Lepisosteus oculatus: one gene and its partner. The protein of the gene in region 1 interacts with the protein of each later gene in a pairwise test. Links are inferred from orthologs where the notes say so. Each region holds a gene or a part of one and is shown in the gene's direction. Other genes may lie near its edges.

Region 1 (7,643 bases):
GTCTTAATTATTTTTGTAATGCACTTTGAAATGATGTATCATAAAAAGCACTATACTCCCATTGTGCTCAGACTCTTTTGAAGCATGATAATGTACAATGTTTATCAGTAAACCATCTGAATGTTTTAAAGTAGTTCAGGTGGAGAGCTGCGTCAGCATGTGTAGGCTGCAAAGGAACAAGTAATAGGTTTATTCCATGCTGAAAGGAGAAGAAAGAAAACACAATGTTTCGGCTGTGGAGCCTTCTTCAGGTGGAAGGATTTGGGTGTTCTTCGGGTGTTCCTCACCCCTATAACTTGTTCCTTTGAATATATTAAATATGGCTTAGTGTGAGATCGTGTTTTTCTAGTCTATTATAATGTATCTGTTTGATGCCACTGTTTTAATTCAGCAAAACCCCTTGTACAACGCCGAGAGATGCGAGGCTTTCCAGTGTGACCTGACCAAGGATGAGTTGTCAAAGAATATCCCACTGGAAAGTGTGAATGCTGCCACCCTCATATTCGTGCTGTCTGCTATACACCCAGACAGAATGCGCCTGGCCCTTGAAAACATCTACAGAGTAAGTACAGAAGTGGTCTTCCTCTCAGTGAAGAAAAAGAAGGTTTAAATGGCTCAAGCTAGAATCTTTCTCCATTAAATCTTCTCCATATACAGTGCCTTGCAAAAGTATTCACCCCCCTTGGACTTTTTTACGTTTTATTGTGTTACAGCATGGAACCATGATGTATTTAACTAAGACTTTTTGCCACTCATCAACACAAAGTCCTCTATAATGTCAAAGTTCCACGCTGTAAGACAATATGATATTTTGTTTTGTTTTTCTTCATCGGGGTGGGCAGGTCTTGAAACCAGGGGGCACTGTCTTGTTCAGGGACTACGGACTGCACGATCACGCCATGTTGAGGTTTAAATCCGGGAGCAAGCTTGGAGAGAACTTCTATGTGAGGCAAGATGGTACCAGATCGTTCTTCTTTTCTAAAGGTGAGTAGCAGACATTCTCAAGCCATCGATGCTGTTCTGTCACCCTTTCAACTTCAGGTTCTCTAAAAAAAATTAAAACACATTTTAGTAGCCAAGCCTAAGCAGGGGCAAGATAGGATTTATACAAAAAAGACATAAACACAAAACAAATTTGCTGTACTGTATAGCTATAACTACTACATACATAGTTATATAAAAATAGAAAGAATGAAAGGCTTTCTCTATATGTGATGTTTTATAGTGTGTAAAACCTGCCTTTTATTTTGTTCCTTGTACTTTTCTGTCTAGAGTTCCTGGAGGATCTGTTTACAGCGGTGGGTTACGAGACCCTGGTGAACGAGTACGTCCTCAGAGAAACTGTCAACAAGAGAGAGGGGCTTTGTGTCCCAAGAGTTTTTCTTCAAGGCAAATTCAAGAAGCCACTCTGACAAACAGCCTGATGGTGATGCTGCTACTCGGAAAGAAAAGACTTTGTATCTGAAAAAACCCAGGAGGGATTTTATTTGTGAATTTCTTGGCAGAATTCTAACCGATCTCATTCTTCTGACCAGCATAGGATTTCATGTCCATTTTAAATACAACACTTTACCTGCTTGTGGAAGGGAGCCTTAAGGTTTTCACAGCTCAAGTGATTTTATCTCGGAAAGAAGAATTCTCTATTTAAATTATCTTTTGATGTGTATGCAAAGACCTGTAATGAAACATGTGTATCGTGTTTCCACTGTACTGTTTTTGTTAAATAAAAAAAAAAGCAAGGATAAGAGGATTAAACATCTCACGGATCTTCCAGCACACTGTTGAGCCAGTCTGGAAGATTACAGGGCTAAGGTGTTTCCACAGATGCTGTAAAAGAATGCAGTGTGGAGTAATGGTTAGAACTGTGTTCTCCTGACGGCTGGGACAGGGGTTCAGATCCCTAGAGTCCAGATTGCTCCAGCAAACTCTGCTCTGTCGATATCGAATTTTGATGTTCAATGATGTTTTTAGCATTTTTTAGGTTATTTGATGTGCTACAAGTATCTGCAGAAAACAAGGCAAGGTGTGGGTCATCTTTGTCCAGGCAGAAAGGTACTTTATATATTCTCATCCTTGAACTCTAAATCTCAGCACACACCTTTTTCCTTCCTGGTGATATCCACAAGGAATTCTGTGTGCCCGAGCTGTGGTGTTTGTGATGTGCGTTTTCCTTCCCAGTAACTCGTGGTCTGGCTGTCATGCCTCCAGAGCCCGGGATAGGGCTTTTTTTGGGACGCGTCTAGTCCTGTCGTCCTGTCTGGCACCACTGGTGCCTCTTGCTCGCAGTGAAATGTCACATCCTCGATTATGTCCTTCCTGTTCAGACAGGTTTCGGATGCAAGGCCAGTTCGATATTCCTTTAGAGGATGTGCATTACAGGACGGGAGTATGAAAGCTGAGAGAAGGAGCAGGGCATATTACTCCCAGGCGGCAGGAGACGCTGAAACATGTGTTTTTAGTTGCCTGGTTGACTGTATGAGTCCAGTTTAGAAAATCATTTCCATGGTCTAAAGTTGAAATGAAGCCCCACACAACCTGTCAGTTTCAGTCTTCATTTTGAATGGCTGTCTTGGACTCTGAGTGGGAAGCCCAGTGGGTAAGTGCCAGTACTCATGCAGACAGTGCTGCTGTACCCCTGAGAGAGGCACTGTACCCCAGTGGCTCCAGCCCGCCCAGCTGTGTAAATGGGGGACTGGCACTGCTGGGAGTAATCCCTGATTTTCTCTCCCGTCCTGGGGGATGTCACTTGCTCTTGCTCTACTCTGCTTAACCCTCCAGAAACCAGGATGAGCTCCGCCCTGATGCGCCCCTGCAGCTCAAATATGGAAATTGCCTACCTACCGTTGGCACAAGAATCAACACACTCTGTTACATACACAAGCAAATTATTGGTGAACTTTTTGTAGGGATAGGAAGTGATTGGGAATGGACCGTTTTCGGATGTGTACAGTAATTGATCCAGCTCACAGATTCAACCAGAAAATCGAACGTGAGCTTGTGGTGGAGACTGAAGTACGTTTATGCCGGAAGTACAGTAGATCGTGTAGGAAAGTAGGGAAGGAAGAGGTGGGGAGTTGGAATGCTTTACATCCTGTTGTATCGGGATTTGTTGGAGAACAAGTCCAGTATGACATCAAATCAAATTGCTTTGCTGCCACTTTAGGGACCTTCAGCAGAGGTACACAAACTTTCAGTCTGGCCCTTGTCCTGCCCTCAGATTTGTCGTCTCAGGTAAAGAGGTTGTAGCTGCGGGCTGTGTGAGCTGAGCTGAAAGTCTGGGGTCTAGTCGGGGAGAAAAGTGTGGTCCAGCCAAGTGTGCAGCAGGACCACTCAGTGCAAGCAGGGCTTGAAGTTCGTGGTGAACAAGGGAGCTGCTGACTAAAGCAGGTCTCTCTGCGCCAGAAGCTCACGGCACAGCTGCAGGGAGAAGGCGTTGCCTCCATGATCATGACACATTAATCTGAGGTCATGGGTTTTCTGCGTAGACAGTGGCGGATTCCAGCACTATTCACAGAAATCTGTACCCAGCTTTTGTAACTGATCTAAGAGCTCACCAAATAAAAAAACATTTTGCCTGTCCTTGGATGAAGAACACATTACGCCCATTATTGTTTCCTTGGTTACCAAATAATCCCAACAACAAAAAGAGCCTTATTAAGAGGAAGAGATGTTTGGTATAAATTGACAGCACAGTGGCCCTGGAGGAAAATTGAAAAATTGTATTTTGTACTGTATTACAGCAGTGCATCATCTGGGATTTGATTTAATTCCTGGATGTAATTCCTAATTACAAACCAGGGGCTCTAACCAGTACTCCCACAATTTTAATAAAACCACCTATTCGGATCAGACTTTTTCAGGTTTCCAAAGTTCTCTGTTTTTGCCTGATAAAAGCTCTCTACGGCTATCCACAGCTGCTTAAACTTCATACTTTTTCATCACAATCCTACCCCTATCTCTAGGATCTGTGGGTCAAATGCTCCCAGAGGGGTCTTTAATGATGTGGCCTGGTGTGCCTCCTATTTCAGAACCGCTCTTGACAACACAGAACGGTAGAGATACAGAATTACGTGTGAATATTGTGCCATATAAGAGTGGTGTTAGTGATAGGAGAGTGTGTAACCGTGGGGTTAGTAGATAGGAGAGTGTGTAACAGTGGGGTTAGTAGATAAGAGAGAGCAATATGGCAGTTGTAACAGCAAATTGGCACCAGAAATGAGTAGAGTGCTGAAACAACTATTTTGGCTTTAATGTGGACATTAATTTGACTGTCATCTTCATAGAAATGCAATTCTGACAACGTAATTTTAGTATTGCACCAAGGAGAAACTGTAATGTACAGGTTAATACTGAATAGCAAATAATACCGAATAAGTACTGAAATAGCAGAGCGCCTGGTGTTGAACCCTGTGAAGCGCCAGACCTAACAGCCTCAGAAGTAAACCCAAGAGAAACAAGAAGATCACCGTGTAACAAGAGGCAGGGTATGACCGGAACCTCTTCAGGACAGCACCAGAGATTGTAAACAAACTCTCCCATCCAGTATGTTGAACGTCATGACTTAACAGTATTGAATTCAGAGTTCAGGGAGTCATTTATATGATCAGTTCAGATGGGGAGCTGCGTCAGCGTGCGTAGTCTGCCAAGGAACAAGTAACAGGTTTATTCCATGCTGAAAAGGGAAGAGAGAAAACACAACGTTTCGGCTGAGAAGCCTTCTTCAGGTAATTTATATCATTATGTTTGCTACACACCAGAGATACGAGACCAAAATAAAACAAACTGAATAGAGCAATAACAGCAATCAGGAGGAGGCTGCTGTTTTATACACTCTTCTTTTCTATACTCAGCTTTTCATTTTTTCCTATACCGGTGTACAGTATAAGACCAACAGCATTACAGAGCAATTGCGCAACGCCAGTTCACAATAAAGCCCTTCCGTCATTGCTTAATTTAGGTTTCAGATGTGCTCCGTCTACCGACCGCTAGGGAGAGACAGACCACTCTTTTCCTCTGGAGAAAACTTGGGGAACGTCGGCTTCAACTCTCTCCTATCCGTGGGGTTTAGTAACCCCCCTGTCAGTGAGATTACAGGACATGACTGCTGTAATTACTGCAGTGTGTACTATAACTCAAGAGAGCGGAAGACAGGTACTGCAGGATTAGTTGGGACCTCTGCGTGCTTAATATAGCAGTTTATTGCCATGTGATTTGCGCTGAGATGTAAACGGAGAGGAGTGCGCGATCCGATTATTAACAGCATAGCAAAACAGGGAGGACATCCATTAATTACAATAGGCGGCCGGCCCGGTCGAAAGGGTTAATCGTTTTTTTCCGATTTCATCGCCATCGCTTTTGTGTGCTTGGAGGGAGGGGGGGGCCGGCAGAAGGATCCGGAGACGAGAGGGGAAGCCTTCTGGATCAAGTCGGAGCGCAGCGGGCGTCGCCACACCGTGCGGGGCCGCAGATGACACGGAGGACGGCGGCTTGCTTCCTGCGTCGTGCGCCGTTCCCTTCGATTCGCGGAGCCAAATAAGAGCCCGGCAGGAAAATTACAATATTTCTGTACGTCCATCTCGGGGATTGCCTAGCAAAATCTGGAAAGGGGGGCGGGGATAGGCGGAGCGCTCAGGTTCTTATTTCAAGCCAGTTTGTCCGGAGAAAGGGGCACCTCCTGTGTTTCAGCTTCCTTGAGGGTTTTGAATGTTGCAGACCTCAGCTAATCCTTAACTCCTTGCGTTTGTGTTTAAAGATATCTTTTCCCCATATGCCTTATTGCTGAAGTGGTGTGGAGGGAACCAGAGTGGTCGCGGCGGCGCTTGGAGAACGACCTCAGCCTCCCCAGTTTCCGACCTGGGGAAAGGGAAAAGACATTACTGCATTCAGCAAAATGGACAGCGTGGAAAAGGGACCCAAATCAGACGAAGAGATTGAGTCGCCGGATGAAGAAGAAGAAGAGGAGGAAGCAGCAGCAGAAGAAGAAGAAGTCGACCCTAGAATTCAGGTACGCGGATGCAATATATATATATATTCCCGAGTTTGGTGGTGTGTTTTTTTTTTTTGCGTCGTTGTGTTGCGCTGACCTGCTCTGAAGACGTGGACGCACTGTATGGATTGGCGGTGGCGTGTGTATCCTGTTGCCCGTGTGGGCTCAGGTTTGTGCCTTGCGGGGCTGTAATGTGGCTGACAACTGACTGGTGGCGGGTCTGTGTTGCCCCGTCAAGAGTCTTTCAGCCTCCCTGTGCCCGAACAGCATCTCCCCGGCGCGGAGCTTCGCTGTCTCCGGGCGCAGTCAGTGCGCCGTGGCCGCGGAGCAGAGTCGGTCTTATCGGCCAAATGTTGTCATGGACTAGGATGTATCGCCACGTTTGAGTCGATCTATTCCTAATAAACGAGAATAAAACAAAGTCTTTTTTTTATTATAACAGTAGGCCCTTAACACTAACCCTACGATCTTGATGAGATAAAGGGAATCATTTTTAATTCCATGTCATTAGCCCTTCTACAGAAGCTCCGTTTTTGCACCGTAATGGTCCTCAATAGTACTACATTTGATTTAGCGGAATTAATCTTGCAGCCGCGCTTAATTACTGTACTGATGCTATCAGTGTCTGTCAACTCAAGCCGTTTTTCTGCTCTTTGTTAACGGACAGACGCCAACAAAAGTATGCAAGCAGACTGGATTACGCGTACATGCTAGAGAGGTCGTTGTTTTTATGCTTGCTAGGGTTGTGAGCCTTTTTATTGCTTTTGTCATCCAGTTCATGTAATTGATAAGAACAGGAAAGAATGCTGCTTGCAGTGTGTTGTCAATTCATACTGACCAGTGTCAGTCAACGCTTTGTGCTTTGAATTAATCATTACATTGTTGGAGTAACTGGGCATTTCTTTAACTGCTCTTTCTTTTCTAACCAATTCTGCTATACCGTCCTTCTCTTTTCTGTAATATGTGTACCTTTCAGAGTTCTCACATTTGTTTTACATCTGCCCACAGAAGCATGAAATATTCTTTCATTTGGAGCTGTCGGTGGGATGAGCTCTCTTTTTAAGAGGAGTGCTGGCTGTACTCTTATGATATGGTGTCTTTGGGGCGTTGTAATTGCTTAATTACCATCTCCAGCAATGGAGCTGAAGAAAGAACACAGTGGAGTTAGCGCTGCATTAAGACAACTAAACTGTGAATCTGTCACTCTTGTGTCCGAACGCGTTTTATTCAAATGTTTCTAGTGCGGGTTTTAGCTCCGTGAATATTTTATAGATCTGCTGGTCTTTGGTGCAAGGAAAACGGCGAAAAAAAAAGACATCTTTTTAAAGTGAGGATTTTCATGTTATTGAATTCATAGTTTTTAGTGACAGCTGCTCCGTGCTCAAGTTTGTGTTTTGTAGCTGACATACAGGTCTTAATGAACATTACTAATGAAATTAAACAGCGACTGCTTTTCCTTCCTTGCCTGTAAGTCTTGCAGTGGCGGACGGGTAGTAACAGCTGGTAGGAAATGGCGTTTTGTTTTTTTTTTAAGCCAGTTTTACACTGTGTCTCTGGGAAAATGTTTAATCAAAGCTTTCTTTGCCAGATTTAACAAGCTCCGTATGCGTCTTGTTTCCTTTCCACGGTTAATGATGTCTTCTCTCTTTCCCCTACC
Region 2 (7,930 bases), on another chromosome or scaffold:
ACATCTCGAATTTCCCTTTAGGGACAAGATTCATCTGTCCCATATTCATCTCGTAATTTACCCCTCTGCAAGCTGTCTTTCCCACAGTCCATAAATGAGCATTTTGCCCTTTAGAGATCTCATTCCCTTACTAGAATTGTGACATTTAAATAAACAATAATATATTACTTTACAATTATGAAGTGTTCCATGGACTCTGTCACTGCTTGCACTTCTGTGAGAGACTCAGTTTGAATACACTAGCTTTTAAAAACTGATAATAATTCCTTATATTTATATAGCACTCTTCTGGACACTCCACTCAAAGTGCTTTACAGGTAATGGGGATTCCCCTCCACCACCAGCAGTGTGCAGCCCCACCTGGATGATGCAACAGCAGCCATAGTGCGCCAGTACGCTCACCACACACCAGCTCTCAGTGGGGAGGAGAGCAGAGTAATGAAGCCAGTTCAGAGATGGGGATTACCAGGAGGCCCTGATTGGTAAAGGGCAATGGAAAATTTGGCCAGGAGACCAGGATAACACCCCTACTCATTTCAAGAAACGCCCTGGGATTTTTAATGACATTTCTTACAAGTGCAGGGAGTCTGGAACAAGCTACCTAGCCAGCAGTGGCTCTGTGGCTAAGGATCTGCGCCTGTGGCTGGAAGGTTGCAGGTTCAAATCCTACTCCGTTGGGCTCCTGAGCAAGGCCCTTAACTCCAACTGCTCCAGGGGAGCTGTACAATGGCTGACCCTGCGCTCTGACCCCAAGCTTGTCTCTGTCTGTGTCTCATGGAGAGCAAATTGGAGTATGCAAAAAAAGACAAATTCCTAATGCAAGAAATTGTATACTCTTAGGGAGTCAGGACCTTGGTTTTATGTCTCATCTGAAGGACGGCGCCTTTTTACAGTATAGTGTCCCCGTCAATATACCAGGGCATTAGGGCCCACACAGACCCCTACTGGCCCCACTAACACCTCTTCCAGCAGCAGCCTTAGTTTTTCCCAGGAGGTCTCACATCCAGGTACTGACCAGGCTCACACCTGCTGAGCTTCAGTGGGGTCGCCAGTTGTGAGTTGCAGGGTGATATAGCCGCTGGCTGATAAGATAGACAACTGCTAGCATCGTGTATTGAGGAAGGACACACAAGAGGCACAAGCCCTGAAGAATTCAGATTTCAGAGGGACCTGGTGTTTCAGGTCCAGATTTCCGAGTTGCTGGATGCAGAGCCTGCTTCCTGTAGACAGCACAGGGAACAACTCAATCCGCAGCTCGGAGCCTCTGTACCATCCACGTGATCAGAGCTGCAGTCAGCAGTACAATGTTGAAATCAGATTCCTACCCTGATTGATCTTCTGTACAAATTCCCTGATGGACTTCAGGGAGGCCAGGTCCACATGCCGGGCGTGGACGTTCCGATTCAAAGTGTCCCCTCGGATTTCTCTGGCCGCCTCCTCACACTTCTCCATGTCCCGGCACCCCAGGATGATACGGCCTCCTTTCAGGAAAGAATTCTGAAAACGTTTAGCACAACGAGAGGGAATGCAGACAAAGGGGACTGCTTCTCAAATACATCGTTTCAATGTTGTTGTCTCGGTTGTAAACATCTTAAAACGCTTTATTGCGGTTTCCCCTTTTCCATACTTGCTACAAAAAGCGCTGTAAACTGTTTGTAAAGAACCAAGTCTAAAACGTCACCCTGCAGTTTCTTATGGTCACTACAGTTAAAAGATCATACTAACAACTTCCTTGGTTTTCTTCCTCAGACCGACTGCTGTACTTCAGGCTAATACATTCAATTCACAGGGGTCGACATGCTTAGCATTTTCATATGGTGCAGTGAATGAACACCAGACTCTAAGGAAAGAGGAGATGTTTTTTGGTTTTGGAATGTGCCAGGATTGATTTTCATTGCCACAAATACCAGAGAGAAACCGAGACTTTCCCATGCTACTTCATAGTTTGTTTTTACGGCACGTCCCAGGATGAAGGATTCCTCACCTCTCCTGGCCAGATCCCTGGCAGTCTCTTTTCCTATGCCTGTGTTTGCTCCAGTAATGATGACCGTCTTGCCAGTGATCTTCGCTTTACTGGGACAAACACCCCCGCTAAAGTAGTCCCTAGAAAAAGACAAAGAAATCTGGAGGTTCTGCTTGGTTCAGCAGACTACACCCGCTCCATCACTAGAGCACAGCCCTGCTGGTACACCTTAACACAGCTAAGAGGACTGGGCGATTGTGCGCAAAGAGTCTTGTTCAGGAGTATGAAGAGCTGCAAGGTGGGGACTCGAACCCACAACCAAAGGACAAGAGGCCAGAACCCTAGCCTCTCTGCACCCCTCCAATTTAAAATGCAAGTTCCTGTTGGGCGTCAATTTACCATCTTTGTAACACGGCAACACTGCTGCGGAGACTGCTGTTTCTACACCTCAGTCCAGCTGCTCCAGTCCTCTGTGTTGGACAAACAGGTACAAGCTGTGATGTGGGAAAGCTGCACTATATCGGCGTTCCATCCAGAGGAGAATCACTCCCTGCCGGTCTGCTCACCGCTACAGAAACAAGGACAGGCTCTGCCACGGGGAGCTCTAGGCTCAGGTAGGAACTGTGCGTGGGCATTATGGTACAGTGAGGGATTTAACACAGCAATCCTCAGGTGTCCCATCAAAACTGCAGATGAAAGGCCCTTTCAGTGCAACTCTTGGCCTCCTGTGAATGACTTTCCCTTGCACCGTTTAAAACAACGCGTTTCTTTCTTAACGTGAGGATGTTTTCAGTGAGCATGCTCACCACTGAGAATAACAGAAGAGTGCTGCATTTATTTTGGACAGGTTTGACATCACCCCCCACCACCACCTTTGAGTCAAAGCATGAAGCCATGCCACGTTTAAAAACGTTTCGCTTTCTGAAAACAAGCCACGATAAAACGCTCACGATAACAGCTGGACTTTAAGGGTGGGGGGGGATGCATTTGACTGATGGGGAGACAGATCTTTATACCAACATCAATTCTAAAACTGAACGTTCTTCGAATCTGTCTTCAGCTAACTATATACGGGGCTACGTACACCACACACACGCCCACGTTACCGAAACCATGTCAGGGCTGCGTGACCTTGGGATACTTGAGACTTTCTGCTGAGGTTTTTCAAAAGTACACACAAGATCGGGAATGGCAGGATAAGTGGGTATCTATGCAAACGCACGAGCAGTGACAGTTCATCTATGAAGGATAGACAGCGACACGGGCATTCGACTCACGAGTTCATTTCTAATGCAGGTAAAAACCGCTGGACGCCTCCATCGTACACATGGCTTTACGGACGCGTTACGGTTTCACAGTGGGCACCAACACGCTGCAAATCGATAATACCGGCCATTATTATCATTTCAAAGAGCGAATGTAAACAGAAACAACGAATGGCAATTTTCTGCAGAGTACGATACAACAGCATCTTGAATGTGCTCACTGCACGCAGCTCCACGATCTGCTACTTACTTTATCAGAACAGCGCTACCAATTACAGTCCCCATTACAGACACAGGTAAAATGTACTTATTCATTATTAAAGATGTAAAAATAACTAAATGCACAAGCAGGACGCCCCCGTTCCCGCAGAGATTAAAATCTAATCTGGGTCTTCCTTGTTTCCTCGTGTACAATTAAACGCAAAAGTGATTGACGCTCATAAGCGTCCAATTGGCAATCAAGACCTGTGCAACCTGACCAATCAAGTAAAAGTAGATTTCATAAACAAAGACACACGCGAAAGCGCTCATGGGAGTTGTAGTTCAAAGAAGAGAGTAAAATGTACTGTTTTGAGGGTGAGCTACGTACTGTAGGTAAAATGTCCAGTTTTAAAAATATTAAGAAACGCTGATTTATATATAACTACACATAAGCGTCATAATGAAATGACTTAAATAATAATAATAATACATTTAATTAAATAATAATAAATATATAGCCAACAGCCATATCACAGCTGGCTGCCCACTGGAGTTTAGCAGGAGTGTACCTGGCTGGGAGACCTCTTGGGAAAGCTAAGGCTGCTGCTGGAAGAGGTGTTAGTGGGGCCAGCAGGGGGCGCTCACCCTGCAGTCTGTGAGGGTCCTAATGCCCCAGTATAGTGACAGGGACACTATACTGTAAAAAGGTGCTGTCCTTTGGCTGAGACTTAAAACTGAGATCCTGACTGTCTGTGGTCATTAAAAATCCCAGGGCATTTCTTGAAAAGAGTAGGGTTGTTACCCCAGCATCCTGGCCCAAATTCCCCCATTAGGAGTCATGGCCTCCTAATAAACCCCATCTCTGAACTGGCTTCATCACACTGTTCTCCTCCCCACTGAAGGCTGGTGTGTGGAGAGCGTACAGGTGCACTATAGCTGCCATCGCATCATACAGGTGGGGCTGCACACTGGTGTTGGTGGAGGGGAGTCCCCATTACCTGTAAAGTACTCTACTCATTGATAAGAGTGTCCAGAAAAGTACTATATAAGTGTAAGGAATTATTTTTGTATATTTTCATAGGTGTCAGTAAAGATGTAACAATAATAAAGTTTGCTAAAACTAAAACTACATTCATTTATTCTGAAGTTGAGAGAAATCAGAGAATTTCTCCGAAGTCATCTGAAGCAGTAGAATAAATGTAATCAAACACAGCTAAAATAGACAATACCGACCCATTGAGTTATAATACAAAAACAAAATATTTAGTACATTTGTGTTTCAAGAGCTGCTCCTCTTGACCTCTACCAGGGGATGTACGGTACTCGGCTGTTCACGGCTGGGGGCGCTGTCTCGGCACCTCGCAGGAGCAGGGACTCGATTTCCCGGCGCTCCATTGCTCCTGCCTGCGCCCTTTCACCTCCCCCAGCTCTCATTCCGTGTGGGGGAGGGGGGAGTGAGGGGAAGACAACGCAGAAGGCATCCAGTGCGCATGCTCCTTCCTTGTTCCAGCTACAACTGCACCCGAGCCATAACAATCGTCCGAATTAACCACTTTGGGCGAAAGATACTGAAATTAAAGGGGGCTGCGGCACGGGGACTCAGGTTAGCCTCCACCCCCCACAGAGAAAACCGTCTGGCCGGGAGACACCCACCAGATAATGAAAATACTAACGTTAAGTTCATGGAGGATTACAAGGTGAGCCTCCCTCCCTTCCTTCTGCTGGAGAGAAGATTCGGAGAAAATGGGCGATTATGTACAGAAGAGGGTTTTTTCCCCCAAACCGAGGAGGATTTGCTCCCACCGGCCGTCTGAAAGGAGCGTCGCCTACTGAGGCGCCGCTCGGTTGGCGGTGACAGATTTCGAGTTTTGTTTTGCGGATTTCTACGAGAGGAGTGAAAACAGGTTCGGGAGGGGAGGTGTGCGTGTGGGGGGGGGCGGGGAAGGGGATCTTTATTATTATTATTATTATTGTTGTTGTTGTTGTTGTTGTCGTCAGTGTACATAGTTCATAGCCGTGCTCTTGCGGAGCCTGTGCGAAGGCGGACCCGGCGGGCAGTGTCCGTTAACCGCCCAGCGGCGCGGGGCAGCGCTCGAACATCTGCACGCGGCCGGGGATCGCCGCCGCGAGCTGGGATGCGTGCGGGAGCGACGTCCTAGCTCACCGCGCGCCGCCCGCCCGCTCTCCGACACTGTTGACTGCGACGGCTTTTTGCTTTTAGATTTTTTATTATTTTTTTGCTCCTCCACGCTATAACCAACCGAACCAACCAACACCCCCCCCCCCCTCCCCACCCCTGGGCTCCCTCTCCTCCTCCTCCCTCCCGTTTTGATGTGAGAAGCGACAGGGAAAAGCAGCAGCGCTCTGGCTCCGCTACAGCCTGTGAAGAGAGCACCAGCCATGCAAGCGCCCCAACTCCAGTACGACTTCTTCAGCGACGACAACGCGCCGAAATGGCGGGGGTTGCTGGTGCCCTCCCTGAATAAGGTAAGCCGGGGGCTGTGGGGATCCAGAGTGGGGCGTGTGGGGCGTGTAGTGAAGCGGCCGTCGGAGCCGCCCGCGATGTGGTCCTGTCAGTGCGGGTCGGAGGTGAGGCTGGCGTTGCCGTGAGCAATGCTAAATCATCTCTCGCCGACGATGGCCGGATCACAGAAATGGGGCCGGGGGAACGCCGCTCATCCAATATTATTAAGCGGCCTTCGGTCGCCTTGCAGGGTCTGGAGGGACAGCTTGGCCTGACCGGCGAGCCGAGCCCGGACCCGTCACCGGCTTGGCTGTCCACTCGCCTCGGGCTCGGCCCGCTGAGGTGCTGCTCCAGCCAGCTGTGTTGATAAATATATCGCCCAGGGACAGGCGTGCTGTCACCTCGGGTGGGAAGTGTGTGTTTTGTGGCCGCATTTCCTGTGATCGCACTGACACAAGGCTGCGGTCATTCCCACTGAGAAGCTTACCGTCAGCGCTTCGTTCTGTGGTACATTACTTGCATGCTTGCAGCAAGGCCCGTGTATGGCCGTTTACAGAAGTCCCGTGTTGTCACTGTTGTAACAGTCAGCTGATGGTGCGCTGGTGGTTTATTGTCACTGTAGGGTCTCCTGCTGAAACAACTGAACCTGATCATCTGAACCTTTGTAATAGAACATTTCTGATTTTTCTTTGTTTATGTAACAGACCAATTCAACTTAAAAGTTTTCCGGGAATTTTTAGGTTTGTTGAGGAGTCAATTTCTAAGATTATCATTCTATTAGATATATTGAGCATATATACCAAGGGGATGTGTAGTACTTATGGGCAGGTTATATCAATCTGTGCAGTTCAGGTTTTGTGCACTTTAGATCATTTTAAAATAATACCATTCTTATGATATAGAAGCTGTCTGTTTGACTCAGTGATTTTGCTTATTAATTTTGTGACAATTGGTTTATAGGTTTGAGGAAAATATGCTTAGGTGTTATTTTAACTACTACACGAGACTGTTTTTCTAAGGGCAGTAACCTTTGGGTATAACTTCAGGGTCGCAGCATGTTTTGTGTGTAATTGTAAGCTGGGGATTTAGCATGCATTTTACTAACAAACCTAGTTTGTTTAATAGGAAGTTTGTCTGTGAATTATTCTTATCTAAAATTAGTATTTTTTAGTGTATGCATGCATTGTCATTTGCATTCAGTTTTAAGAGATAAATATAGGACTAGCATTATGGGCATCTGTTTTATTTGCACAATATTGCAAATAAATAGGGAAGTAATATGCAGTTTCATGTTGTTATCAGAGTGAATGCTTTCATTTCTAATTGATTCCCCTCACAGGGCTCATCAAATTGCATCTTGTTTCTGAACCTTTCCTTTTTCTGGTGTGTGTATATACAGCCTCAGTCTATTGTGCAATTGTAAGTGTTACAAGCAGTCCATTTAATTGGATTAGGCAACATTAAATCAAGTTTCAAAACAATATGTATAGATTTCCCAATGCCATAAATAAGCATGCAGGGGTAGCACAGTTGCATGGCAGTTAGTGCTGCTTCCTCACAGCTCCAGGACCTGGGATTGGGCATCTGTCTGTGTGGAGTCTGCATGCTCTTATCTAGCTTGTAAGGATTTTCTTCTGGTTTTCTAGTTTACTCCCACTTCCCACTGTCACGTTCTCTGTAGCCCTGTAATCGATTGGAATGGGGAAAAGCCTGAAATGTGTTCTCTTGAAGTACGTAATTACTTTGTAGCGTTTGTTACATGGTACTAATAGATTGTTACAGCTTTGTGAATTGATTGAAAATCCAAAAGCCAGATGGCATTCCAAATGCAGAAGTGAGTAGGGCGTCACTTATCTGGGAATAAGTGATGTGGGTGTGGGAGACAGCACGTGCCTTGCTCCTCAGCTCATGAGCTCACTCGGAATTGGTCTTCCAAATGTACAGGCAAGTGAAAGGGAGCTCTTATTGAGTAGAGAAAAGGGACTAACATGTCTGTGGACTGAACTTCATGAGCTGTGGTTAGTGATTCAGCCCCAC

The links.
Region 2: the proteins of sh3bp5a (region 1) and son of sevenless homolog 1 interact in a two-hybrid assay, tested with the Homo sapiens proteins (2 studies listed by BioGRID and IntAct). The link is inferred for Lepisosteus oculatus from reciprocal best matches to the Homo sapiens genes SH3BP5 and SOS1.

Annotation. Positions count from the first base shown.
Region 1 is NC_090705.1:41,677,967-41,685,609, forward strand, and holds the start of sh3bp5a (SH3 domain-binding protein 5), read left to right. Parts: upstream 1-4,591; 5' UTR 4,592-4,724; intron 4,725-4,999; exon of another isoform or gene 5,000-5,151; intron 5,152-5,161; exon of another isoform or gene 5,162-5,565; intron 5,566-5,752; exon of another isoform or gene 5,753-5,784; 5' UTR 5,785-5,890; coding exon 5,891-6,004; intron 6,005-7,643. Other genes in the region: tRNA N(3)-methylcytidine methyltransferase METTL6, read left to right, coding at 392-562, 843-984, 1,273-1,412. UniProt on the Homo sapiens protein: Functions as a guanine nucleotide exchange factor (GEF) with specificity for RAB11A and RAB25. Inhibits the auto- and transphosphorylation activity of BTK. Plays a negative regulatory role in BTK-related cytoplasmic signaling in B-cells.
Region 2 is NC_090712.1:4,595,762-4,603,691, forward strand, and holds the start of son of sevenless homolog 1, read left to right. Parts: upstream 1-4,876; 5' UTR 4,877-5,126; exon of another isoform or gene 5,127-5,333; intron 5,334-5,427; exon of another isoform or gene 5,428-5,770; 5' UTR 5,771-5,829; coding exon 5,830-5,916; intron 5,917-7,930. Other genes in the region: retinol dehydrogenase 13, read right to left, coding at 1,326-1,481, 1,985-2,103, 3,479-3,543.